Linked DNA regions of Astyanax mexicanus. The protein of the gene in region 1 interacts with the protein of each later gene in a pairwise test. Links are inferred from orthologs where the notes say so. Each region holds a gene or a part of one and is shown on either strand. Other genes may lie near its edges.

The links.
Region 2: the proteins of htt (region 1) and ptk6a interact in binary tests that used the Homo sapiens proteins (3 or more experiments, as listed by UniProt). The link is inferred for Astyanax mexicanus from reciprocal best matches to the Homo sapiens genes HTT and PTK6.
Region 3: the proteins of htt (region 1) and hypk interact in binary tests that used the Homo sapiens proteins (3 or more experiments, as listed by UniProt). The link is inferred for Astyanax mexicanus from reciprocal best matches to the Homo sapiens genes HTT and HYPK.
Region 4: the proteins of htt (region 1) and mkrn2 interact in binary tests that used the Homo sapiens proteins (3 or more experiments, as listed by UniProt). The link is inferred for Astyanax mexicanus from reciprocal best matches to the Homo sapiens genes HTT and MKRN2.

The regions. Positions count from the first base shown.
Region 1 is NC_064414.1:46,260,994-46,268,455, reverse strand, and holds the start of htt (huntingtin), read right to left. Parts: upstream 3,020-7,462; 5' UTR 2,670-3,019; coding exon 2,572-2,669; intron 894-2,571; coding exon 810-893; intron 1-809. Other genes in the region: C-type lectin domain family 4 member E, read right to left, coding at 4,618-4,756, 5,827-5,930, 6,567-6,691, 6,841-7,092.
Region 2 is NC_064419.1:39,952,851-39,959,716, forward strand, and holds the start of ptk6a (protein-tyrosine kinase 6), read right to left. Parts: upstream 3,009-6,866; 5' UTR 2,992-3,008; coding exon 2,549-2,991; intron 1,470-2,548; coding exon 1,348-1,469; intron 188-1,347; coding exon 24-187; intron 1-23. UniProt on the Homo sapiens protein: Non-receptor tyrosine-protein kinase implicated in the regulation of a variety of signaling pathways that control the differentiation and maintenance of normal epithelia, as well as tumor growth.
Region 3 is NC_064430.1:121,704-129,043, forward strand, and holds hypk (huntingtin-interacting protein K), read left to right. Parts: upstream 1-4,428; 5' UTR 4,429-4,501; coding exon 4,502-4,663; intron 4,664-5,516; coding exon 5,517-5,572; intron 5,573-5,672; coding exon 5,673-5,724; intron 5,725-6,594; coding exon 6,595-6,690; 3' UTR 6,691-6,824; downstream 6,825-7,340. Other genes in the region: mfap1 (microfibrillar-associated protein 1), read right to left, coding at 7,141-7,320. UniProt on the Homo sapiens protein: Component of several N-terminal acetyltransferase complexes. Inhibits the N-terminal acetylation activity of the N-terminal acetyltransferase NAA10-NAA15 complex (also called the NatA complex).
Region 4 is NC_064431.1:12,838,516-12,846,033, reverse strand, and holds the start of mkrn2 (E3 ubiquitin-protein ligase makorin-2), read left to right. Parts: upstream 1-4,494; 5' UTR 4,495-4,576; coding exon 4,577-4,602; intron 4,603-5,585; coding exon 5,586-5,714; intron 5,715-6,399; coding exon 6,400-6,551; intron 6,552-6,752; coding exon 6,753-7,066; intron 7,067-7,518. Other genes in the region: mkrn2os.1 (MKRN2 opposite strand, tandem duplicate 1), read right to left, coding at 1,176-1,383, 2,197-2,359, 2,780-2,826, 3,256-3,476. UniProt on the Homo sapiens protein: E3 ubiquitin ligase catalyzing the covalent attachment of ubiquitin moieties onto substrate proteins.

The DNA.
Region 1 (7,462 bases):
TTTATCAAGTCAGTCAAACTAATATAGTCATGGTCTGGACACTACAGAAAGATCACTTTAATTAACTGTCATCATAGCAGCAAGCTTCTTTAGTCAGCGAGAGGATGACATATTAAGACACAGTAACAGCACTGCAAGACATTCTTCTGCAGCTGAAGTAGACTGTTTTTCTCAATTGCTATGACAGAGAACATTTGTACAAGTTATTTGGTGGATCTTTCACAGCCTTCAAGGGGTGAAAAGCAGCACCATAAAACCATACAATTAAACCATTTATTTATATCATCCAAAAATTGATTATTGTGAGAGGCCTACAAACAAACAGCACATTATTATTTCTTCAGTATATTTGGTGTACATTAGAGTGTTATTTTCTGAGAATATTTTCATTATTCAAAAAAAAAATGCTTAAAATGTGAGGCATCCTAAAAACCTTAACTACAACCATCACATTGTGCTACACATTTGTTCTCCTTGAGAAAAAAACGAAATAAGTAAATCCAGATAACATTTTTCCAAAGGTCTTTTATTCCACATTCCTAGTGAGTGGTGGTGTTTTGAGCCCTGTGTTAATCTGAGTCCCTGAATAAATCAGTTTTATGTCTTTAGTTGATACTTTTAATAATCTGTTTTTAATGACTAATAAAATGTAAAAAAAAAAAATAATAAATAAAAATAATAATAATAATAATAATAATTAAAAAATAATAATAATAATATAAATATTAATAATAATAATCTGTTAATCCTTAATCTGAATTGCTTTATAAATGTGTTACTCACAAGATCAAACAACAAGTACTGCATACCTCAGAGATTGTGCTACGATGTTCTCGCATATCGTCAAACAATGAGTCACTCTGTCCTTTTTGGTCGTGGCTAGATCTTTTTTCCTACAAAGAAGTAACATGTTTTAGCAATTAACAAATAAACAACTGAAAAAACATGGTCAAAATGAGAATTTTTATTTTTATTATATTTCTGACTGTTCCTTAATCTAAAAACAAATAAGAAATAAACTGCACTACAAATGTACAACAAAAGAGTTCAGCTCATTTCTGAGGAATCATTCTGAGGATCATTTGTTCTTTATACTCTTCCAGCAATACAGCCAAGACAGGCTCTTCAGAGGCATGCATAACAAGTTTCTGTGTAAACTACTTTAAAGTTAAAAAGGGTAATTATTTTTATTACTCTAGTCTTTTAAACAGTAAGAACTCTCTGACTACAGATTTAAGGTAGGTAGATGATTGAAAAACTTGGGTGCATAATCCCTCTTGGTAGTAAGAATACAATATATACAAAATATAAAAATACAGGACAAAGGCACATTATACATATATATATATATATATATATATATATATATATATATATATATATACAAATATATATATATATACATATACATATATATATATATATATATATATATATATATATATATATATACACACACACATATACACACAATTCGCAAGAATGTTCAGATTGTACATTTTCCTGACCTAGCACACATGATTTCAGCTCCATTTTACAGATAGAGGTTTTAAAAACCATGCACCATTTTCTTTTCAGTTCACACTTAATTGCTACTTGTGTTTGTCTATCACATAACATCCCAATATAATATAATTACGTTTGTTTGTGTAACGTATAACTACGTTATTTCTTTGTGTAAGTGTTCAGTGTATTACCATATACATAAGAATATACAGACTAATCATTGCACCTTTCCCAGCTTAACAGGAGAAAGATAAAACCTTCTTAACTTTAAATTGAAGTCAAGGTAAAAATAATTTATATTAGGTTATCTTGGGGAATTTCTATTGGTGCATTGAGCAATAAAACTTTGACAAAGTGTGAAAATGTTTATTTGTTCAAATTAACTAAAAATTAAACTGTCAAAAACGGAGATGCTTGATTTTTATTTTTAGCAACGATATACAGCTATGTAGCTATATAAACAAGAATATACAGATGAATACCTGCATCACTTCCAGCTCTAGCACACCTGATATCTGCTTCAGTATATATCTAATAATATATCTAATAGGCAATAATTAAGCTGATGTAAAGGAAAAACATAACACAGCTAACCTAATGCTTTTACTGGGCACAAGACAAGCTAAGACAAGCTAAGAAGCACTGATTTATTAGCCAGTGCATCACTAGCCATTAAGGTGTTTATCAGCTAGCTATTGCAGATAAATGAGTCAGGGTCATTAGATTGTATGCACTGAAAATGCTTTCCTAAAGACAGATAGCCAAATAGCTAACCTACTATTTAATAAAATTAACTAACGTTTCCTAACACTGTATTATTTGGTATAAGCAAATCTTGACCGTTAGCTAGTTAGTAAGGTAGCTAAGCAGGTCAGCTGACGTCTTTGGCTACCAGCTTGACAGCTAGCAACATAGCTTAGCTAAGCTAACTGGCTAAATATGTCAACACATAACGCTAGCTAAGCTAATTAGCTAACCTAGCTAAATGACTGGTTTAGACTGGTGGAGACACGGCTAGCCAGCTAACGCTGTAGCTACGTTATCGTCCCCTCCCCTCAGACTTACTGTTTCTGGACGAGCTCCTCGGCTGACAGCGGGCCCTGCTGCTGCTGGAACGACTTCAGCGATTCGAAGGCCTTCATCAGCTTCTCCATGGTGGCCATGACAGCGGGCCGCGCGGCCGGCGAGCTCCGGGGGAACAGCCGCCAGCCAGCGGGCTAGGTACTAACTAGCTTAGCTTAGCTTAGCCAGCTAATATTTACACCTGTGGGGTTAGCCAGCCTGCTAACCAGCGCGCAGGGCGAGCAACGCTCCGAGAAACAGCCCACGGGAATTCAGCAGCCCGACAGTACCGGGGAAAACCCGCAGCGACCGTGAGCCTCGGCCGTTAAACCCGTTACCGGACTCCGCGCGCGCCGGGACGTCAGCGGGACGCAGAAAGCGCGAGCGGAGCGCAGCTCACAGCGGGTCTGATCCGCACAGCCATCTTTACACCGCAGCAACCCGCGAGCACAATACACACAGCGAACAGAGAAACCTGTCAAAATAAGAGTCCTCCCACCCCCTCAGCAGAAACCCATTCATTCCTGAAAGTCCGTGCTCATTCATGTTTTGGTATACCTTCTATACAACATGGATGGATAGATGGATGGATGGTAGGGGTGGGCGATATGGCTCTAAAATAATATCACAATATTTGCGATAACGATATACTTGGCGATATAGGAAAACAGAAAAATGGATGGATGGATGGATGGATGGATGGTCATTTGAGCACGGAAAAAGATCACTGTATCAGTAGCATTCGGTTCTGTCAGAATAAATAAATAAATATATGAAATATAAAATATACAGTAAATACATAAATAGAATTGAATTGAACAGATAGATAGACAGACACATAAAATACATACATAAATTGATTAGATTTTAATAGAAGTGAATGGATAGGTAGAACGCATAATAAGAACAATAGAGAACAGAAAATATGGTGTGTTGAGCAAAGTATGATTCAATATCAATCCACTGTGAACTGTCTCTATAGCAAATAAAATCTGCATTTTTGGATTTTAGTTCATTAGACAAACCATGTAGAGTACCAATCAAACGTCTAAATGTATTTAAATTAAACTATTTCTTTTTATGATGTTCTACATTGTCAAAATTATTCAAGACATCAAATAAATAAACTTAAGAAACATAGATACGTCTTCATTCACTAACTGTAACAATGTCTCCCTCTGCTGGCCCTAATTGGTTACTACAGACTAGTGCTGCTCCCACAGGAGCCTAAACTGTGTTTGTATGGCTGGTTTAACCTTTTTTTTTACCCTTTTCTCTTCTTTTATAGGTCTGGATTATGGATGTGTCTGTTCTCTGCTCTGGCCTTCCTGTGTGTTGACAGCTGCCTGTTTTCATGACTATGAGTTTTAGACAAGACCTGAAAAACTCATGCAGTACATGCAGTCTGTTAAACTCTGCATTTACTACCCACCCAAACACAGCTTTTCCCTCGGGCTTTCAGGGGCCTTAACAGTTTAACACTAACTAACAGATGTCGCTCCACAGGCCATCAATGCCTTTACACATTGTGATGATTTAAGCAATTGTATATACAGTGTTACCCCTGGACTCCATTCTTATACACAAAGGGCCAGTGTTAATTATTTATTCTAAACTTTAGTTGTGTGGCTTATTGTATTTTATGTGCAGTGCCACTTCCCCTGCTGCTCCTCTCCTAGTTTACTAATTTTCAATCAATCTATCAATAAATCACTAATATTTTTTTCTCAGAGGTACAATGAGAGTGACCCTCATTTTCATTGCAGCCAAACATTTAAAGATATTAAAGACAGGGACTGAAAGAGAAAATAAAAACACAATCTACTCACAACTAATATAAAATTATTAAATTAGCATTTATTTATAAAATAAAAAATAAATTAATATAAATAGGACTAATTAAATCAAAAATCCTGCCTACGAAGACTACAACTTAATATAAAATATATACAAATTAGAACATGTTCAGTTTACATAAGCTAAAGTAAAAAAAAAAGTGCATTTTCCACTTAAAGAAATGAGAATAATTTATTTTAAAGGGTGTGTAATCTATCTTTCACACACCCAGTGCTTCTCATAAGAGCACTGGTAATCATTCCAGGTTCTTAACGGATTTATCCCAGTCGTTTGTATGGAAGCACAGTTTTGGTTTCCATTAAAGTTGTTGGGCTGATCTTCCATCCAGTACCTGAAACAGCACAGGAGTAGGGTTCATGTTTAATTACTGATTTCACCCAAAATCACATAAAACACAACATCTCTTAGTGATTCTCAGTCCTACTCAAATCTGGCATCCAGAGGGCAGCAGTGTAACCCTCTACAACATCATTGCCAGCCCATCACTGCTCCATTGCTACCTGTTACTTTTATTTTACCCAAAGAAACATGTAGCTGTATTGGGGGGGAAAAAAAAAACAACAATGTATGCATATTGATTATGTACATTTTGAAGCAGTGTTTACCTTACAAAACTTTTTTTTCATTTAAATACATAAAAGCAAAAAAAAAGAGTATTCCAAATGATTTGAGTATTCCATGATGTGGGCCTTTATAAGAGCTGTTTTTATGATTTAAATCTTGTTGAACTGAGTGAAACAACAAAAACGTTTCTGGATTCATTTCACTCAGTGCATGTTTAACCATCCAAAAAGTAGAAAAGTATTCCTAGAAACCTATATATAATTAAACTGTTGGATTATTAAACACGGTTTACGTATAATAGTTCACTTCTCCTTTGAAACACAAATGCAATCATATCATGTTTGTTATAATAAGGATTAACATGACCCTAAGTGTGTGCATTTGATAGGATGTTGCGATTACATTAAATTAGTAATTTTCCATTTACATGCACAGTAATTAAAAAAATATATATTCTGAAATTAATTTTAGATGTTTAAATGCAATATTATTAAACTATAAATCTGGCCAATTTGATCTGCAACATAACAGGAGGTTTTAGACATGACTAAAATATTGAAAATGCTTTTTTTCTGTTTGGCCAGCGCAAATTATGTTGAAACCCTTAAAATCTCAGTGTCACTGGGTAGAGCTTTGTTGTTAATGGTAAATTATAAATACACTCCTCTCCAAAAGTATTGGAAAATTTAGGTCAATCCCATTTCAGCCTTTATTTCCAGGTATTTGTATCTGAAAATCTAGGTCAGGAACCATTACATTAACAGCCAATAGGAGTAAAAGTTCAATAATATTTATTTTTCTTCATTTAAGTAATAAAAGTAATAAAAAGTCTCTCACCCCAGAGTTTGTGTCGTGTTGTCTACCCATTTCCAAACTCCCTCTGTTTCTTCATCAGTTAGACCAATCCACATATCCTCTCTGGAAAATCCTGATACAAAAATCTGTTTACATGTAGTAAAATACATTACTAGCATGTGCCCCTTATTATCTATCTATCTATCTATCTATCTATCTATCTATCTATCTATCTATCTATCTATCTATCTATCTATCTATCTATCTATCTATCTATCTACACCCAGTATTTTCTACACTAAAATCATACAGTAAATAACTCTTTAACAATGTTCTTCTGTAAAACTGTAGAACGCAATGCATCTTGGGATGTCCTATGAAAACAGCTGTCATCTGTATATATAACTGTAACATTTGTGGGAAAAACAGGTGTTTATATTTAAAACATTTTACGGACATTTACTGCTTTGTTGTGAGACCAGAAACAGCCTACAAACATCCCTAATTTGCATATTGGGCGTGTCTTCCCACGCCTAACTTACCATTAGTGTGGATTCTTGCCTGCCAGGGCTATTTCCTGTTGGGTACTGAGTTATATTTTATATAATGGTTGCTTTCCTGGACACAGGGGTGTAGGTCTTAAGAGCAAGTAACATTTACTTTACTGCCAAGCATGATTTCACATGCTTTACAGTATTATGTCAATAATCATTTTGCAGCACTTTACTGGAACTAAAGACCCCAAACATTGAAAGTACAATCTTTCTCTCTCTGTCTCTCACCTGTTCCTCCTTTGTGTTTATGATCACCAGGTCAGCACCTATCGTCCTGCAGTGCTGTCTGCTCTTAGCCCAGGTCTTTTTCTCAGTAGAGGTGTAGTAAATGCTGGAGTTAAAATACCTCCAACCTTGAGGAAGAGCAGTGGTTAAATTATTATTATGCATTTAGTTTATTTATAGATATATTTAGTGTAACAACTGTCCGAACAAACAGTCATCAGAAGAAAAAGCTTGAATTATTACCTTTAAATAAAGAAACATAATAAACTAAGCTTACCTAAATGATTGAACTTCTGTGCTATCCTCTGGTTCTCGCTCTGTAAAAGACGCTGGGCCGTGGTCAGACTGGTGTAACTGGTCTGTAACAGGTCTTTCTCTATAGTAAGGTTATTGATAGTGTTTTGTAAATGTTCTTTATCAAACATGTGCTTCAGACACAGTGTGGTGATGGTAGCAGCTTGGAGAACACACAGTAGCCCCAAACATCCTGCAGAGATTCTCATGCACTTGTTCAGAGTTGACTCAGCTTCTAAAGAAATATCCGCCCACACACACACACACACACACACACACACACACACATTTTCATTCATAACACCCTTATTATGCAGAACTCAGATATGTAGACAAATTTTGTAATGGAATGTTTTCTTTCATGCTTTAAATAACCGTTTTCTCCTCTAATCAAAAACATTTACCAAGTTTTATATACAGTATATTATGCTACACTACATGCTTGTTATATCAGTACAATCCCATTTACTGTATTTCATCCAAAGTTTAATAGCATGTTGCGAATTCTGGAATAAGTACATACTTTATTAGTAATACTTTATTATTAAAGCCCCTATTGTACTGTAGGTCCCCTTTAAATAAAGGTTTACCATGTACAAGAATCC
Region 2 (6,866 bases), on another chromosome or scaffold:
GCTCACATACAGTACACACTCACCCGTGTGCAGGGCTCTCCGAGGAGGGTGCCGGAGCTCAGAGGATGGCTTTTATAATGCTCCACTAACTGCTCCAGTCCGGGGAAAGTGGAATCAGGGTCCACATAGAAACCCTCCTCATCCTCATAAACTTTAAAGTGCTTCACCTCCTTATCGCTTAGTCGAACTAACAGACAGAGAGAGAGAGAGAGAGAGAGAGAGAGAGAGAGAGAAAGTGGGATATTAGATTAGATTATTATACATGAGAGATCCTATTATCCTGAATTTGCATTAAAAAAAACACAGTATCGATTAGAGATGCATAATAATATGGGAATTACATCAGTATGGATCGATAATTCCCTTTTTCTTTTTTTTTAACCATTGGAATCGGATGATATGGCCAACATTTCAAACTGATATTTGCTGATGTATTTATTGTATGCTGGAAAAGGACCAAACAATGCTTTCTGTGCTACTACAACTGGCCATGTTACTTTAAAATATATTGATTTAAGCTCATTTTTGTTTATTTTTATTAGTTTCAAAGTTACCAGGGTATCTAGCTTCTTCTCTGTTATAAATATGCATATCGGCATCAACGTCAACAGATATATAAAGGCTTAGAATTCCCACATCGGTGTATCCCCAGTATCTATATATTTTTTACAATTATTTACATGTAAACATTGGTGTCAGACAGTCGTTCATTTAGTGTTGTAATTAAACCCTGCCCACTAGATAGCAGTGTGGAACTCACAGTTATTTTTTTTTATATTAAAATAATCACGATACATCACCTACAGTGTCACAATTAATCACAATATATTGAATTTTAAGCCCTGTACTGTTCTACATATTGTATACAGCCCTAGTGCAGAGGGAGTCTATTTTGTATTATACCAGTTTGCTAGTTTAAACTATGCCATCCGCAATATGGTGGTTTGGAAAGAGAAAGGAGAAAAGGAGTCAACATTTATTAGTGTTCAAACACTAGTGATTAGTGATCAAACTGTCCTTTTTTTTTATTAGTCAATATAATATTTTTATTTTTACACCTTACACATATTTTTTACACCCTATTTAACTACGCAATGGTGAAAAAAGTGGAAAAATAAATTCTGAAAAAAAGAAAAATTCTGTTTCAGAAAATTTTAATTTTAGTGGATCCCTACCTGTCATGGGAACAAGATAGAGATTGTATTTACACAATTTTAGACTGGGAACTGGAAAAGGGGGGATTGTAATTTTATAACACCTCTAAATGAGAAATATACAATGACCTTCTTTCACTTCACATAGACAAGTCACAATGTACTGCACTGTACTTCTGAACAATTCACTTACCTGACAGCACACAGCCCACCTCATCCCTTTCACTGCGTCGCAGCAGAAATGCACCGACCTTGTTACCTGCGGCCAAAAGCAGTTTCTGGGTCTCCAGGCGATTCAGTGACCCAAAATACCATCTGAAAAAAAACAGGAGATGACATTCTTCCTCACCAGGTAATTTAATTTTCTTTGACTAGTGAATTACCGTAGTTAAAAGGGAGTGCAGATGTTAAATCCTTCTGGATCACACTAGGGACCTGAACAGATCTTAGATATTGTAAGTATTATTCTGTGTCCCATCTGAACCTGGATGTTAGGATTTCTGAGTTCCAAATAGGACATTTTAACTGGAATGCCCCTACAAGCCACATTTCTCACAAGTCAGAAGAGCCTCATGCTGTGCTTCATTTACCTCAAACATTAGATATAGGAATGACATCACAACCCAACAAAACCCATCTAAACAGAGGTACGATACAAGTACTTTTCTGTACTTAATGTACACTTTTCGTAATTGTACCCTCAAAGGTATAATATTCTGTATAATAATATTCCAATCTTTACAGTGTCTGATGTGTTCCTTCAGAAGTACAAAGTATTTCCTTACAGCAGGTAATACAGATTTGTACCATTTAACCAGTCAAAATGTACATTCTGCATTCCGTATCACTGTACTAATAAACAACATATATTGTGATTATACATGTTTCATTTGAAATCCAGACAATTTTGGATCATCAAGTTCTTGACACATATTCAGGTGATGATGATGTTTATAATCTTTACTGGTACAAAAAAACATGGGTATAAAAAAAATAATTTTACTGAAAACTACTCTATTATACCTCAATATAAGGTACAGCCCAAGAGACAAGCTATATACTCTTTAAGTACAAATCTGTACTTACTTTTCTTAGTGTTTAACAGCAGGAAGTACAGATTTGTACCATTTTACCAGCCAAAATGTACATCCTGTGTTCAGTATCTCTATACTAAAAACAATACATATTGATGATGTTTATAATCTCTCTTACAAAAAACATGGGTACAAAAAATACTTAAATATAATTCAATAAAGGTACAGCCCCAGTTTTGTACTCTTTTAAGTACAAATCTGTACTTTTTTTCTAAGTGTGTTCAGTGCACAACAAAAATAAAGGATTTTTTTTTTTGCAGTTCCTGTACTTTAGGAGGGACTGTATGTGAAAACACTCACGGTTGTTCCTCCAGGGTCTGCTCTTTTGCCAGGTAGTTGGAGGGCACGAAGCCCTCAGCCTGTATGAGTCCCTGCGGGCTGATCTTCTCCACCCGACACCACTCTCCCTCCTGCTGCAGCATCCTAAACGAGTCTCCAGTCTGGAAGGAGAGCTCGTCCACGGCGCGGCCCTGGAAACTCCACAGCGCCTTATACAGAGCCCGGGCAGCTGGCGGGTCCGCTGGCTGGGCTGTGGGCGGCTGTGTCGGCGGCTGGGTGTAGTTGTAGGTGCCGATCTCTGGGTTCTCGAAGTTGGAGTCTCCATCTCTCTGCTCTGCTGCCTCTCCCTCCTCCTCCTCCTCCTCCTTCTTCTTCTCTGCCTGTGTGAAGAGGCTGGAGAGCAGAGTCTGGAGGCTCTGGAGACTCGGGCAGGGGCAGCGAGCCTCCCCCTCAGGACCCTTCATCTGGGTGGAGGTGAAGAGACTGAGAAGTGTGTGTCTACATCTCCTCAGAGTGTGTGTGAGTGAGTGAGTAAGGTGTGTGTGAGTGTTGGGGCGGATGTCTCAGGTTGGGCAGGTGTATTTATGGGAGGAGCTTAAAAAAGAAAAAAAAAAACTTTCCATAAAACAGTTGCTATTGGATCATTACCAGAATTGTTGTGGTTTGAGGTTTTCATAACTTTCAAGAAAATGAATTATGTAGGTAAATCATTGAAATGCCTACATTTATAAAAAACATCTACAAAACATTGATATATATATATATATATATATATATATATATATACTTTTAACAAACTTAAAAGAAAGGCTGTCAATCTAAACAGGCAGAATTGTGAAAGAGTGGTTCAGGTAGAATGAGATCATCATCTTCACACATGGATTGTTCACCACAGAGTCCAGACCGTAAAAAAGAGAACTCAGGTGTAAAATGGACTTTTGGTCTAGTAAAAACATGATAAAAAGACCTTACCTTTGTTGAATAGCCCAGCACTCTTTACAACGACCGTATCAGGGTATATTTTGCCTTGATAAATTGCTTTTTACATCTTTATCCAGGCTCAAAGTAGCTCCTCAACTTTTAGGTAGAATCCAGAGAGCCCTGACATTTAAAAAGAGGCATTAATAACTTAAAAAGTTCAAAAGAAGCTTATTAAAAACCACTGTTTACATCCCATAATGCTAACTTTCAGCTTTGTGTGCCACTATCACTGTACTGATAATGACAGACATGTATATACATAGACTCTGCATAGCCTGCCTCCTGGTGTAGCAGCCAGCGCCCAGTGCATTTAATTACATATATATATTATATATATATATATATATATATATATATATATATATATATATAGGAGGAGTTGTGGTTATTATAGGTGTATTAAACACCTTTCTCAGTGTAAGTAAATGCACTGGGCGCCGGCTGCTACACCAAGAGGCAGGCTATGCGGAGTCTATGTATATATGTCTGTCATTATCAGTACAATGATGGCGGTGCCCAGAGCTTCAAGAAGTGATATGGGATGTAAACAGTGGCTTTTAATAAACTTCTTGTGCATTTTTAAAGTTAATAATACCTTGTTTTAAATGTCAGAGCTCTCCAGAATCTACCAATGAGGCGTGTGTAGCTACTTTGAGCCTTGATAATGGTGTAAAAAAGCGATTTATCAGGGAAAAATATGCCCCAAAGCGTCCGTCGTAAAGAGTGCTTGGCAAAAAGCACAAAATTACTGAATTTGCTGTAAAAAGCTGTAGGAAAGCGAAGGTGGGCTATTCATTTATGTACGTAATTAATAACAACACTGGATTGAAATAAATCTAGTGACATTGCAGAAGCTTATCAAAAGAAAGCCACAGTGTGCATGCTGTAATCAAAGCTAAAGGCGGTTCAAGAAATATTAGGGTGTGTGAGCTTTTTTTTTATGGCGATATTTTTTTTTGGACAGGCAGTTTACCAAGAGTGTACAGATCTGTCCTCAAAGCTAAATGTGGTGCTTAAAAATCTATAGTATTAAACATATTCTGGTTTTATTTAACATTTTTATTTACAGAATAAATGTGCATGTGTTCATGTAAAGCTTTAACTGTACACTAGCAGAGTGGATGTAGTGTTTCTAATAAAGTGGCCACCGTGTGTATGGGCTTCAATGGACTAGCTACCTGTACAAGCTGTAAGAAACATGGTGAAGGTGAAGCAGGCAGTGTTGCATCAGTGGTTAGAGCACCAGGTTATTGATGACAGGGTTTTGGGCTCAGTAACCAGGTTTGACAAGCAGTCACAGTTGGGCCCTTAAGCCTAAGACCCCCAGGGATGATGACCCACTGCTCCAGGCACTTGTGCTCACTAGTGTGTATGTGTGTGCTCAGTGGCAGAGACCAGACTCCATCAGTGTCCAACACAAATGATGAATATGGATGTCTTTCTAATATTTTCTGTATTTATTATGTATTTGTACAACTCAAATGATGCATGTATGTGTGTGTGTGTTCAAAAGACAGAAACCCACCACAGAATGAGATTTTTCAGCTCACTGTTTTTATTCAGCAACTCCGTGACACACACACCTCTGGAGGAAAGAGCCTAGCAACTCTGCAGCAGGTGGAAAACCAGACAGTTTTTCAGACCGTAGCGTTGACACCACACTGAAAATGTAAAAAGAGTCTTTTTTTTTCTCAGACGATAATGAGTCTCTTATCAGAGTGATATGTTCAAGGTGGGAAACTCCCCCTCCTCCCTCCCCGCGTTTTTTTTTTTTGTCTTCTTTTTTTTTTGCATGAAACAAACAGAAATGGAATTACCTGCCATTTTTTCCATCTTTTAGTCGCTTCACATATATTCATATATATATTTATATTTATCAACACTTTCTAAAGAATTCAAATATTCAGCCACGTGTACTGAAAAGAAGATTCACTTTTAAATCACAATAATAAATATAAAAAAAGGATATATAGCAAATCCGATATAAATGACGTGGTAGTAGAGAGAGAGAGAGAGAGCGAGGACTGGTCGGTCAGGACATATTGGCCTGTAGTTAAAAACAACAGAACAAAAAAAACAAAACAAAACTCAGATTCAACGGTTCCTGAGGTTCCTATGTTCCCCATATAGACGAACAACATGAGGGGAATGGCTTTTTAAAATCACTGAGAAGCTTCTACAAAAGGTCAAAGTGCAAAATCGAACATTAGAGACCATAACCACATTGGAAAATCTTTAGTCGCGTGGGCCGCTGAGAGGAGGCCGTTTCATTGGCCTTATTTACAAAACAACATTTCAAGTCTTTGCGAAAGGTCAGAAAACATCATTTGAAAGCCGTTAACAAGCAGGCCCTCCGTTTGCTCCGTGTCGTATTTAAGGGAGGAGGATTGGTGTTGCACTTTGAGCTGATAAGAAGCTCTCTGTTGCTCTCTCGCCGTTTTTTTTTTTTCTTCATCATCCAGCACTTTTATTTTCTTTTACCCACCAGCAGTGACTACTGCACCCTGCCTCTAAAGGCCCTTGCACATGGACCCCAGCCCCAATTCACTCCAGACCTAACGCTGAGGAAGTAATGCACTTCTGAGGTGCAAACAATTAAAAAAAGATAAATAAAAAAATCTAACAGTGTTTACGAGAGAGGTAAAGCGAACCTGTAAAGGAAAACAGGCTTCCGTTACAGTAGCACTACAATGAATCGATTTCAAGACTTGGAGTCCCGGTGAGAACGTGAATAAGAAACAGAAGAAAAGTATAAACAACTGTCAAGAAATGCTCAATGAGAGTGTTCTCATTAACAGATATGCCCTGGGATACTAACACGAACCACTGTGGAGCAACAACCGTCACAGATACTCGTTTTTTTTTTTGTTTGTTTTGTTTTTCTTTTTTTTGTAAATTGTGCAAGGACCTTAAACAGTAGTTTAACCAAGTCTCTATAACCTTCTAACATAGCCCCTCCATGCACTAGATTCAAGAAGCAACTCAAGTCCTAAAACAAAGGCTGTGGGGGCTGAGCGGAGGGGTGAGTTCTTAAACGAACACAAAAAAAAAAAGAGAAAGAAAAAAACAACGACGAAATAAAAAACGACAAAAGAATCGGATCCTCTGTACATGTAAACATCACACACTTCCACTGAGTCAAAAAACCAGAAAGAAATAATACAAAGCTTCACATTGGTATACAAAGAGAAACGGCGGCCTCGGCCCGCGGTTTCCAGTAGGTACAGGAGTAGAAACAAATAAAATACAATAATCATATTAAGAACAATAACAATAATTTTACAAAGCACCACAAAATTAAAAGAAACACAGGCAATGGTTGTTTTACCACATTTTGATTGCAGACCTCAGCTGCACT
Region 3 (7,340 bases), on another chromosome or scaffold:
TTATTAATATAATAATAATAATAATAATAATAATAATAATAATAATAATAATAATAATAATAATAATAGTATGCTAAATTGCAGTATTTGTTGTACACAAAACAACGGTGTGCAAACATTTGTGGACCCTTTATTCCATTGAGCTGTGGAGTAGAACTGTATTCTCTGGAATGGTATTGCTGCATACAACACTTCTAGGTTGATTTGGGGATGAGGTGGGAATGAGGTGGGGCATGAACATCCAACGTCCTGACGTTACTTACGCTTTTGTAACTGAATAAAATTAGATCCTCAAAGCAATCCTCCACAAATGTAGAGTCTTCTCTAGACAGTAGAGACCGTTACTCAAACAAAGGCAGGATGAACTCGGATCATAAACAGCAACCTAGCTGTTAGGTGATTGTCATGTTGTTTAAGGTGACTGAGTGAGAGAGTATAGTAAAGGGGAAGGGAATGGGCCATAACTCCAGTTATGTGCTGGATCATCTTCCTCTATTTTATGTTTCTAGTGTCTGGATCTGTATACTTTGGTCAAGTTTTTTCTTCTTTTTTTTTCTTCTTTTTTTTTTTTTTTTGCATATATGGGGTTTATAATGCTCGCTGGTCTTCTGTGGAACTTCAACTCAGAAGGGTTCCATCCCTAATCTCATATGAATAAAGTTCCCCTGATTTATATAATACCAGCTTGAGCAACTTGACCAAGCTTTATTTTGGTGTATCTTTACTGAAGTACTGGGAGAACTTTTACTTTAACTCCACTACATTTCCTAAATGGTCTCTGCTTTATTCTGATAGCATGTTTTGGGCTCTAGGCTGAGTCCTGAATGTATTTTACTCTAGACTCATTGTAGGGGTCTGTGGGGGAGTTTGGCAGTGTCATTTTTTGGCAGTGTCGCACTGTCAAAATCCTACTTCCCCTAGTAAGCCCCTTATGTTGAGTAAAATACATTTCAGGACTAGTGCCCAAGACATGCTATCAGAATAAAGGAGAGCCCCTCAGACCTTTGGGTGCTGAAATCAGAGGGTAGTCAAGTTTAACATTTTCTCTCTGATGAAGGTAAACAAAACATAAAATATGTGGATTTCCATTCATATTCAGTAAATGAAAAAGACTTAGAACATGTAAAGTCGGACCATTTTAAATGCCATCATATTAGCTAAAAGCTCCATAAAAATTTAAACATTGTTGGGTGTTTTAATTGTATATTGTGGTTTAACATCTTTTATATTCGTAATTGCACCCTAATTACTTTGCCATTAATAGTTATACGGAAGGCTTTGTAACCATGCTCTAAAGTAATTGGTTTATTTTGTATTTGAAAAGGGGTTTTCGAAATGTATTATTCTATTTTTGGCAAACTGTACATTTGTACATATGTTTATAGACTATGTTAATATACTGTGCAAGTGCATACTAACTGTGGCATGGGATACCTCTAACTGCATAGATCCACTGGGAAATCAAATGAAGTACAAATTCTTATGTATTCAAGGTATATGTTGTAAGTGATATTACTGTATCATTTTGAAGTAATGGGATACCAAATAAAAAAAAGTCTATTCAGTTTCCATAAAACAGATTTTGCAGTCCTATAAAACCGAATAGACTTTTTGTTTAGTTTGGTACCCATTTACTCCAAAATGATACATTAATATAATTTGATACTTACATTATTGAAACATGGAATGTATTCTGCAAGGATTACATGGTGTTATTGGATAACTATTCATTTGTGTTGTGGAAAAATATGTTGCATCAAAACCCTATAGTCAATTTTGAATAAACATTGACACTCCTGCACCTTTTCAGGAAATGTACGACTTCTCCCAAAAATTACTAAAACATCACCCTCAACAATACAATAGCTGTACATTCACTCTACGATTTACAAAACAATGACTAAAATGGATCACTTCCAGCAACCAAGAAAGAGTTTTACACTTTCACAGTGGTGCGCAGTATATGCTACCTATGATGTCATTATAGCAGTGAAGAAAAAAATCCAAGGGAGCAAGGCTGGGTTTCCCAAGAGGTTCTGAACACTAAGACAATTCATAGATGGTTCAGCAAGCTTCACACTGGGCACTCTCTCTCTGTTAAGATGTTCTTAATCCTAAGGTGCTATTAGTGACATAACGTGGAGACAGAGTGGTTTGCAAAATTATTCATACCCCCTTTTGTCACTTCGCAACCACAAACTTAAATATATTTGATTGAGATTTTAAGTGACAAACCAACACAAAGTAGCACATAATTGTGAAGTTGAAAGAAAATGATACATGGTTTTCAAATTTTCAATCAAATAAAAATCTAAATGTGACCTTCAAAAATATTCATCCCCCTTTACTCTGAACCCCCTAAATAAAATCCAGTGCAATCAATTGTCCTCAGAAGTCACTTAATTAGTTAATAGAGTCCAGCTGTGTGTAATTTAGTCTCTGTAATCACTAGAATTCCTTTTGTATATCATATTTTTTTACTTACTTTCTATTTCTCCCTAAATTCTCTCAAACTGTTGCTTTGTTTTAAAAAGCTTGTTTTATCACCAATACTGTATTATTATTATTGTTGTTGTTATTGTTAGACAAAGGGAAATACCTACATTAATCTATATCTATAATAATAAATACTACAATTTAAATATTGAGCAGGCCAGGTAGGTTTGAAAAAAGAAAAAAGTTGAATCGTTTTGACATAATATAATTGCATCACCCCCCAACTGCGCCTGCCTGCTCTCGCTGATCAGCACTAATTTCTATCCATAGTATATAAGTCAGAACTCTGTAATTTACTGAAATTATTAAAATCTACAAAGGTTTACATTTTTTTCGTTTCTACTAAATGTTTTAAACTGTTATACTATATAAAACTATAGTATTTATTGTGTTTCAAAAGTTTATTTATTTAAATTCTTTAAAATATTTAATTTATTGTCACCAAGAATATCATTATCACAAAAATACCCTGCAGCTAAATGACCTACCAATTTATCATTAAAAAAACTAAATATACATAAAAAAGACCTAAATTATGCCAATTTTGAGAGAGAAAAAAGAATGAATACAACAACACACCTAAAAGGAAAAAATAATAACAAAAGCAGGATTTGTATCAGTCTTTATTTATGTAGACATAATGCTTGGGTGTATGTTTAATTCCAATTAGTTTGGGTGAAATGTAGAAAAATGTAATGATGATCAGACATAATTACGTTTGATTTTTATTAATAACAGTTTGCAAAAAAATAACAATAACAAACAACAACATATTCCAGAGTAGAAATAGTATATTTCATGGTAAAGGTCTGGGTCCTGTTTCCCTCTTAGCATTAAGAACATTTAAACATGGAGAGAGAGCTCAGTGTGAAGCTCGCTCAACCATCTCAGACTTGTCTTAGTGCTACGAAACATTTGGGAAACTGGTCCTAGACTATTTTGTAACCCGAAAAAACAGGCTGGATGGCTCCCTCCTCAGTAATTGAACGATAGGTGGCAGTATGCAACTAATCAGCGATAAGAAAAAAACGCAGAAAAAGACAATTGAGCTTCATGAGATGAGCTTTCAGCTCAGGAGTTTACACAGTTCCACTTTTCACTGTGGATATCAGCGGCGTCCATTCTGAAAAAAGAAATAATATTCCAGTTAAATGGTGAGTCTTTTTCCGAGCACTCAAATAGGCAGTCGCCAGTTGCTGAAAATGCTAGTCGTTTAGGCAAGATCCCATATGTTCCGCGTTTTACCGTGTCCCTATATATATGTAGATTTTTCTCAAACCCTGAATGTCTATCTAGCTAATTCTAAAGTTAAGCTAACTGAGTCACAAGCTGGATTTTATTAAACACACAGTGGGTTTAATTTATGTTTTGATTCAGAGAAGAGTCTTTTTAACCAGCTATCAGAAACAATCTCATCACAGTTTACATGGTTAATTACCTTTCTTTTAGAAAAATCTCCGTATATCCAGATTAGCTTTAACGACAGCTGCTCCGACTAGCTGCCTGAACTCACAGCGAGGGGAGGGGCGGGGCTTCCTCCACACTAAACAGCTCTCCGCAAAACCAGCAAGCGGATTGGCTGTTTCTCCAGAAAGGCGGGACTTTCTCCTTGAACCGGCACTCGATTGGTTAAGAGACACACAGCGGTCAGTGCATTGTCGCCTGTGGCCTATATATTTTTTTATTTAGTATAATACGGGAAATTTACGGGAAAATACTAATACGGGAGGACGGCGGGAAAGAGGAGTAAAATACGGTAGTTTCCCGGCCAAAACGGGAGACTTGACAGGTATGTAAAACAGCACTGCTGCGGCGGCCTTTGTTTTCATTTCTGAAATGTGATAACCTTATTTGGGATGAGGCCTCGGTGTTACACTGATCTGTTCCCGGGTGGTGTTGACTGAGCGTTTGTAGGTTTGGGACGAGGCCTCGGTGTTACACTGATCTGTTTCCGGGTGGTAATAAGGGAGCGCTGCTGTGGTTCCGGGCGGCAGTAGGAGGAAACATGGCGGCGGAGGGAGATGTGGATCTGGATCTGGAGGCGGAGGAGAACTGCACCGGGAAGCCCACAGAGAAACCCCGCAAACACGACAGCGGCGCGGCGGATCTGGAGCGGGTGACGGACTATGCGGAGGAGAAGGAGATTTCCAGCTCGGACCTGGAGACGGTGAGTCCGGCCCGGTCCCGGTCCACGTGCTGCCCGAGCGCGCGGGTTTATTAATATAATAATCAGAATTACTGTAGATTAATCTGAGGGAGGAATAATCCGGATTAATCCGCTGCTGTTTCTCAGTTTCTGAGAATACAGGTTCACTCAGTTACTCACATTAACCCCCGGTGTTCCGCCCAGTTCTGATACCAATCCATATGGGGTTCCATGCACCAGTGCGCATGCGCGGATCCACATTGTATTATGTTTTCATGGATTTTTATGGCAATTCTGTTTTATTTAGGCGCATTAAACACATGAAGCCCTCTAAATATAAAAAGTATTATTACTGTATAGTCTGTGTGTAATTGGCAGTAAATTAGAAAAGTAATAATAAGACAATAAAAATACAGAAACGAGCTGTAATCACCTCTATTACCTTAAACTGAACCCTGATCTACTGATTCAGGATTAATAAATATCCTACAGAATCTCCTGCAGCAGCTTTTCCTTATATTCTGCTTATTTCTGTATTTTATATTTAAATAATCTACTATAGAGCAGCAGGATTTCACAGGGGAGCAGAAATCAGCAAAACACCCGGTCCCGAACCGGTAATCCAGCCCGGGATTATCCTTTATATTAATTTACATGGTTAAATTAGGAGTGTAAATTACCTATTTATTACCTGGGTTATTTATTAGTTAATGAGCTAGCGTTGGTAATTGTGTTAATTAGTGAGTAGTTAATGGGGTTGATTGGGGGTAATTAGTCAATAGTTAATTAGGTTAATTGGGTTAATTAGTGAGTAATTAATGAGGTTAATTAGTGAGTAGTTAATTGTTTTTTAATGGTTCTGTTTTCTCTGAAGGCGATGTCCGTGATCGGAGACAGGAGATCCAGAGAACAGAAGGCGAAACAGGAACGGTGAGAACTCAGTACATTTATTATTATTATCACTTTGTTTATTAATATTTTAAATATAGTTTAATAAATAAACTGAATTGTTTGCTTCTGTTTCCTGCAGAGAAAAAGAATTGGCTAAAGTGACGATTAAGAAGGAGGATGTGGAGCTGATAGTAAGTATGAAGTTTTTACTCCAGCAGCTTTTAATCAGGTTAAATCAGACTCTGGTTTGTTTTAAGAACGAGTGAAAAAGAATTAGAGTCTGATTTTACCAGAATAAATAATCAATTAGAGTAAATCACACAAACTGCTCCCAGTCAAACTCTTATTCTTATCTATAAAGATCTTGTTCTGAAGTGTTTTTGTTTTGCAGTTCAGACACTTGAAATGTTTAAATCCAGACCGAAAAACGTTTCTGTTCAACAGCTTTCAGTTCAGTTTAATCACACTACTATTATTATTATTATTATTATATTATTACTCGTTTATTTACCTGTATCTCCAGCATGTATTCTGAGTGACGTCCTGTGTATCTCAGACTGAGAGTGGTCCACATTGGAGTTTAGATCCAAAAACTCCAGACTCTACTCGACTAACCCTAACCGACCAATAAACCGCCATCAGGAGCCCAAAATGCCCGATTTCTGCCCCCAAATAATTCCATTACCCCGCGTCCACAGAGCGGCGAGGTGTAGTTTATAATGTAACTGTGATTATAACAGTCTAACTTCTGCTGATTTTCACCATCACAGTGTGCTCTGTTACTGTGCTGTATTCTGATCATCACACTGTAGCTTTATATAAATAATAAACAGCATTATACATTTTTATAACAGACCGTTCTCTTCAGCCCGACCCGACAGAGTTCTGTTCACATGTTCTGATTATTTTCAGTGATTTACTGTGATCTATTACAGTCAGTGCTGGGAGTTTGAACCAGTGTTGAGCGTGGTTAATTTCATTTATATTTTATGAATTTTAATTGTTTTTATAAGTTTATATAAACCTCTGTGTATTAAAGGTTCTGATGATCTGTGTTACAGATGGGGGAGATGGAGATCTCGCGAGGTGTGGCGGAGCGAAGTCTGAGAGAACACATGGGGAACGTGGTGGAGGCGCTGATCACCCTGACCAACTGAACATCACACACACACACACACACACACACACACACACACACACACACACACACACACACAATCACATCCCCCCCCCCCCCTTCCCCTCTGTATTGTGATTTTAATAAACTGTAATAAAATATTTCAGCTGTTTATTTAAGCAGTTCCTTTTTTAAATGAAGTTTGTGTTGTTAAAGAGTTAGGATAAGATGGAAATATGAATTTGTCACAGTAGTTTATTAAGAATAGCGATGCTGTACGATTTTTACACATTTCTGCTCAGAAGAAAAAAGTTCTATAAAGAAAATGAATCAAATGTACAAAACTAAAATAATAAACCTCCATTTTCTTCCCACTGGAACTGCAGTTCAGCACAAACAAATAAACCAGGGGGATTTAGGGGGAGAGAGGAGTAAAAACAGTTCTGCAGATTAATCTGAGATAACTGGTTTAAAGATGATCAGAGAGACTTCAGGTCTTCCTCTTCTGCACGGTGGGACGCTCGAACACGTCCCGCACTCCTCCGGCTCTCTGTTTGAAGAACTTGCTGTTCTGAGCGCTCTCCTGAGCCCAGGCCGAGTCGAACGACGTCGTGTCCTGATCCACCAGGTGTGTGTATTTAGTGCGTCCGGATCGACCGAAATTCTTCACCTGAATAAAATAAAAATGAG
Region 4 (7,518 bases), on another chromosome or scaffold:
GAAATCTTGTTTGTTTGTAGGTGACCAAATACTTATTTTCCACTATTATTTGCAAATAAATTATTTAAAAATCAGACAATGTGATTTTCTTATAGTTTTTCATTATGTCTCTCATAGTTTATCTATGATGTCAATTACAGGCCTCAGGAGAACTTGAACAATTGGTGACTGACTAATTATTTTCCTCACTGAAGTATGTAAATTTACTGTAAAATACTAATATGGGAGGACAACGGGGAAGAGAGGTAAGAGGGGCCACACAGGGAGAATTGACAGGTATGTATGAAGCCCGTAAAGCGTCAACATTTTATAGAACAACTAATCATTTAAACAGCGACATGTGCAAGAATGTCAAAATAATATGGCACAAGGATTTAAGTTACTCTACTGACGATGCATTGGAGGGAATTCTGTAGGCAGGGACATTAGAGAGGTTTAAGGAAAATGTATTCAGTACAAATATTTGCATAGGTAAAACCAATCCAGACTTTTTAGAATGGGTGTTGTTGATAATGATTTATCTTGGAAATGCCATTTTCTCATATGATATGGGAATGCCCAGTAATATACTTCTTCTGGAGTAGTATCCTCAAAGTAACAGGAGAATGCCTGGGACTACTGTATCAACCTCGCTACTGCCTCCTTGGAGATCGAACAGAAATCCCCAGGGTAAAAAAAAAAAACATGTCTAAAGTTGGACACAGATAATATTGCCTAATTGGAGGAGTAAAAATGTCCCTGAACTGAAATAAAGAACTAAACGGCATCTTATGAGGTCATGGGGAGACTTAATAGAGAGAAGAAAGTGAAAAGCTTATGGACCTGCACTCGACTTGACCTGCGTAGGCTTCGACCTTGTATTATTATATTGGCTATGCTGTTTCTGTGTATGTAAAAGTGTGCTGAGCATTGTGTCTGTACCTGTAATGTATGTTTAGTAAAAACAAAAATCTGAATAACAAAAAACAACTTAACAGTAGCTAACTAAACACACTAACATTTCTGTATTTACTGTGTGTGATTCATTTATATTATGTGAAATATACATACTGGCACCAAGACAATAGAAGAGATCCTTAATGTAGAACCTCCATGAGCATCAATGAGTCTTGGGCACCAATGATAACCCGGTCACTGGTTCACTGTCTCTCCTTCCACCAGTCTGACGCTCTTTCTTACTGGTTGTTCACGTAAAAGCCATTCTGCAGTATTTCTTCATACACTCTGATGAACATGGATGCGAGTTTAATCCTGGGTAGAACGTGCCTGCTGGTGAACTCATCTCTGCTCAGAGAGTCTTTACCGTCCACCGATCGCATGTGATTTATGAAGCTAAGAGCAAAACCATAACAACAGGACCCAAACTCCCTCTCTTCATGGAACCTGTAAAACAAAAACACTGGATTAATATTTTGTATTGACATTTATGACTGATCATAAACAGAGTTATATAGTTATAGTTATAGAGTTATATAGTGTTAATGAAATCAGTCTTGGATCTGATCAAACCAGGGAAGTGCACAATGAAAGAGAACTACAGTGATTAATATTAGCATTAACGATCATTATTAGTTAATGCATTAACTACTTTAAATATTTCTATTACCACAATTAACGATTATATTAGTTAACCTGAAAACATTAGGCCTATGTGGCTGTATAATGACTATCCTTAATTTGTAAGCATTCTGAAAAGAGGAGGATGGGTCTGTGAGCCTTGGTTCCTCCCAGTGTTTCTTTCTCTTCAGCACTGTAAAGATTTCTTTAATGTTACTTTGCACCAATATAAGTTGTAAAAAGTGCTATATAAATAAATCTTTATTGATTTGATTTGACTAGATGTTGGTATGCTGCTGTATACTGGGCATATCAGTGTTCCAGGGTACTGATGTAGGATGATTAGTTCCACGACTCTAACTCGTCCCAGCAGCACTGGATGACACTTCATCATTTCAGAGAACACAGTTCTTCCACTGCTCCACAGCTCAATGTTAGAGGGCTTTACATTTTTCTAACCCATGTTTGGCATTGGGCGTGAACACTCCAGAGCATGCTGTTCTATTGACCAGTGTTCTTCTTTTGAGATTATATAACAGGTAACTAGTAAATTTACTAATTTGGACAAGTTGTTTTACGAAATGCAATTAAAGGATAGTTCATATTAATGTTATTAATTGTTAGTTTAGAATTGTGTACCTCTCTGCAGCCCAGGTTGGAAGTGATGAAAACAGCTGTAATTCCTTATCCCAGGAATCTACAAGAGAATCTCTCCAAGGTGGAATCAGCTGTATGCAGACACACTGTTCCCATCCCTGCTCGTCTATCTGGACCCCTGATAATGTGTAGTTATAGACCAAGCCTTGAGACAACACAAAGGTAAAAATCTTAATGCTCGTCATCTACATAACATAGCCTATACAAATACACAAGTTGGTTAACCAGCTATTGGTCAGAGTATTTTGCATTAGATTTTAGTCATGCTGGTCAATCTAGGTCATTGGTTGGTTGATATGCTTGTAATTACTTGTCATACTGGTCAACCAGCACAGTCATGCTAGCCACACTGGTCGACCAGCTTTGTCATTATGGTCAACCAATGGGGTGTTGCTGGTCATGCTGTTTGACCATCTTTGTCTTTTTGGTCGACTAGCTTGGTTTGGCTGGTCATACCGGTATTCAAAAAAATAATAGCATTTGGCTGTTTTTAGGCTGGGGTTTAAAGGGTTCATTATACATTCTCACCCAAAACTGACAGACTATCACCTTAAATGTAACTCACCTGCTGAGTTTGAGATGCCGACGTGTAGCTCTGAATCATTCCACTCTCTGTAAGAGTAAAGAACAGTGTAAAACCTTTATTAAACTCAGTTAATCTCAGTCTGACTCAATTCGACTCAGTTAGACTTAATTAGACTCAATTAGACTTAATTAATCTCAGTTAAATTCAGTTAGACTCAATTAGACTCAGTTATCTCAGTTAAATTTAGTTAGACTCGGATAGACTTAGTTAGACTCAGTTAAACTCAGATGATTCAGTTAGACTCGGATAGACTCAGTTAGACTCAGATAGACTCAGTTAGACTCAGATAGACTCAGTTAGATTCAGTTAAACTCGGATAGACTCAGTTAGACTCAGATAGACTCAGTTAGATTCAGTTAAACTCGGATAGACTCAGTTAGACTCGAATAGACTCAGTTAGATTCAGTTAAACTCGGATGATTCAGTTAGACTCGGATAGATTAAGTTAGACTCACCCCAGAGACCGCGGCCCCTCTCTCGCTCCTATCAGAAACGCGCACGGGGCTCTGTGGCCGCTGCTGAACGGACCGGGCAGCGCGACAGGCGCGTCCAGCAGTCCCAGTACCGGCGGCTGCTGACAGACTGGGCACAGACCAGTTCCAGTACCGGCCTGTGGATCTGCGAAGGTGTAGATATCTCTCCCGCAGTGGCGGAACTTCACCACGGCCCGCTCCATTACAGCTTCACCACATCCCGTTTAATCTAACCCACCTGCTCGCTGCTCTCCTGCGCTACGATTGGCTGCATTCGGCTGGAGTTCTGGTCAGTCTGAACTACTGGCCAATCAGACATCAGCGGGGGCGGGGTTCATATTTTACGACGGGAAGAAAGACGCGTTTATTTGCCTTTAATATGATGATCCATCTCTTTATGATAATATAAGATTTATTATTTATCTCTTCTAAAAAACAACACGTTCCCGCAATAAAAAACATCTAGATTGTGAATAATGTACATATTATAAACTAGTTTTATTTTATCAAATATGTTAACTGTGTAGATTTTATGTATAGGTTTCTGACACTTGATTTATATTTTACGTACAATGTATTGAAAGGTAAAACGTAATTTGCTCAACCTGTAAGATATGTAAATTAAATCGGTAAACAATAGGCCATATTTTATATATTTTTATGTCATCTATTATCTACCTCTGTTATAAAAACCATAGAACTTCTAATCTCATTATTTTGTGTAAACTGTTGAAAATAAATCAACAATATCTTAATTATTTGTCAAATGTGTTATTGTGATATACTGAGTGATAATCTATTTAATTTGTCAAAAAAGATGACAACACGATATACAGCTCAATATATACAGACAATGATAACGTATGTAGTGATTCCATGTTACATTATTTTATGAATATATTTCTTGCTACAAATCAACCGGTTATATTGTAAAGTATGTTTCTGTATGGTGTTTCAAAATCGCCCCCTTTTGACTTTGGGCACCTGCCCCTCCAAATGTCGAAGTGTTGAACCAAAATATGTTTTATGCTTTAGATTCTTTAAAGTAGCAACTTTTTGCTTAGATCTCAATTTTGCCCACTTGTTATTATTCTCTCAGTCGGCTGTAAGTGCTAGAACCTGGAAAGGTTCTCCAGCTGCCTGTAAGGAGCTGTAGAGGTGCTGTGCTGTTCAGGGTAAATCTCTGCACTGGGCGGAACTAATAAACCCGGGTCGCTGGTGTTCGGGGAAAGAGTTGGAGCTGCGCGTGCAGGAGAGGCGGGGGACCGGGCCGGGGTTATTAACTGCGTGGATTTCGGGGAATATGTCTACAAAGCAGGTGACCTGCAGGTAACTCACCTGGACGGGGGGTTCGGGAGCGCGAGGCGGAGGAGGGCAGGTGGGCCGGGCGGGTCTACGGGGGGCGGAGGTGCCGCTGTAGCCTCTCAGTGCGCGGTTAGCAGCTAAGCGGCTAACGGCGGTCTGCGGGTTTACTGATCAGTGCAGCTGTTTCTGTTAACAGCGCTAACTATATTACTACTATATAACTAATATATAACCTATATTACCCGCAGTAAACACAGCGCTACTGACCCTGCTCCCCCATCATTATACTCAGATACTGGGGATCAGCCCGCTGTGTGTGAGAGCCAGGATTACTAGCTGTCTGTCTGTCTGTCTGTCTGGGGTAAATATCTGAGATCTGTGTGTTGGACTCTGACATTTTCCTGAACTGAAACTGTTATACTGCGTTCGAATTATTAATAATTTCTGTATAAATACCTGTTTTTGTGTTTATGTTGTAATATTTATCTCATAATTTTAACACTTAAAGCTTCAGTATCTTTTTTTACCATGTTTTCAGCTTGTTTTAAATCAGTTATATAGAATTGTAAGCACCACAAAATCTGGAATGCTCGGCCTCACATTTTGTAGTCAAAAACTTATTATAATGACCCTCACCCAGCTTACGTATACTTATGTAATGCGAGGCACATGCTTAAAAAAAAACTGAAAGTAAGTACAGTTAATGGCAAAACAAACTGCTTTTAAGAATACCGCGTTGTCACGATTTGGAGTTCGTGTGTATATATTACAAAATCGAACAAAATGCATATATATATATATATATATATATATATATATATATATATATATATATATATATATATATATATATATATATATATTTGACTTGTACTGTCTATTATATATTTCTAGTTAGTATAAATGTTCACATATATCTCATGATTGTAAAATAAAAAATACAAATGGATAAATATTGTAAAAGTTTTTTCTATGTATTTCTGATATTTCCTTTCTTCTTTTCTCAGGTATTTCATTCATGGTGTTTGTCGAGAGGGGAACAGATGCATGTTCTCACATGATCTGGCAAACAGCAAACCCTCAACGATATGTAAATTTTTCCAAAAAGGTGTCTGTGCCTATGGCGAGCGATGCAGGTAATGTTTTTTTTTTTTTTTTAACTTATGTCTTGCATATGCGCTTAATGTATGCTGCCAGTCAAGAATTTGTGTTAAGAAATTATTCTGACTGATATTAATGTACTTTTAAATATAAGCCTAACCTAAAGCCACTAAATATTTGACCAACTAGGACACGTGAGATATTCTGCAATTTCAGTAACTCATTATTCAACTAAAACAAGTAGTTTTTGTATTTGATCATGATTTTAATTTCTGCTGAACAATTTGTTGACTAATTTATTTTAAGTAATTTCAGCAGCTGCAATTTTTTAATCATTGTGTAATTTATATAGTAAATAATATATTTGGTCTTGCTTAAAAAAAAAAGCACAAAGTTACAATTTGAAAGCTTCAAAATTTGAATAAACACTGAACATTTTAGAATCCCAGCAGAGACACCAACAAACCACAGGAAGACTTATTGTTTGGTTATTGTTCTATATAAATTATTTTTAGAATTTCACCTGAATATCAAAAGTGCTTTCGGTTGATTTGGTTGACGATTATCCACCACTTCTATAACTGGATTATCGAGAAGGCTTGACGTGTTGGAGTAGTTACTCTAGTTAGCCGGACTGAATTTCCTGGATCCTTTTAATCAATTACTCAACTACTCTAAAATCATACATTAGCATAATGCATAATTTTGTCTATGTTTCAGATATGACCACATCAAACCGGGGGGGCGGGGAGGAGGGCCGCCTCTGGAGCACACAAACAGACCCAGTAGTGCTGGAGTGTCTGTCCCAGGACCAGGGCCTCCACCCAGTACAGGCAGAAACACTAAGAAACCAGTAGTGTTGAGAGACAGAGGTATGGCTGAAAAGTATTGGAAGTGTGTGTTACATCCTCATAAAGCTACAGAAAACGTTACATAAACTGAGGCAATGTTCTAGCAGTGGAAGGGATGTGTTAAGAAGGGTGACATGATGTAGAAAATCTCATATTGCAGTTTTTACCGTTGCAGCGAGTCGTCACATCATCCTTTTACATCCTTTTATCTTCTGCCTGCAGCTCTGGCCAGTGACACTAGAGGTCAGCCTTACAGTGGAGAAAGTGCAGAGGTTCGGGATTGCTGGGACTACAGAGAAGGTTCCCAGGCCAAACCTCACACCTACCTTGATGCCATTCGTACAGGGCTGGAGAGTTCAGCCACAGCCAGCCCGTACCCGGACGTGCCCCACCAGCCACAGCTCTGCCCGTATGCTGCCGCTGGCCAGTGTCAGTATGGCAGCACGTGCCCGTATCTTCATGGAGACATGTGTGAGATCTGCAGGTTGCAAGTTCTGCATCCGCACGACCAGGAGCAGAGGGCAGCACACGAGAAGGTGGATGAATATACCACATATATTTTCCACATAAATATAAATTTACCAGCGTTAACTAATGAGCTCATTTCATAGTTGTTGTGTAGATTATTACAGACTTGTGACGTAATATTATAGTTTATGGCATCAGTATGCTTCTGCTACCATCTGCCAGGCCATATATATTCATTAAAAAAACAGGGTTCCTCCATTAAGCTGCCGGCGCTCAGAGGGAGCAAAATTAGCCCTGCTCCCTCCGGGTGGGTAGATGGCGCTCTCTCCCCACATCACTCCTAGGGTGACGTCAGTTATCTTTGTTTCGTGTCGTACTCGAGGGATTGGCAACACTACACATTAGTCACCGACCAATCATCGTCCGTGTCCTCGTGTGAGTTCGTAGGCCATCGCGGGGGAAAATATACACATATATACACATATATATATACACATATATACGTGCGTATGTGTATATA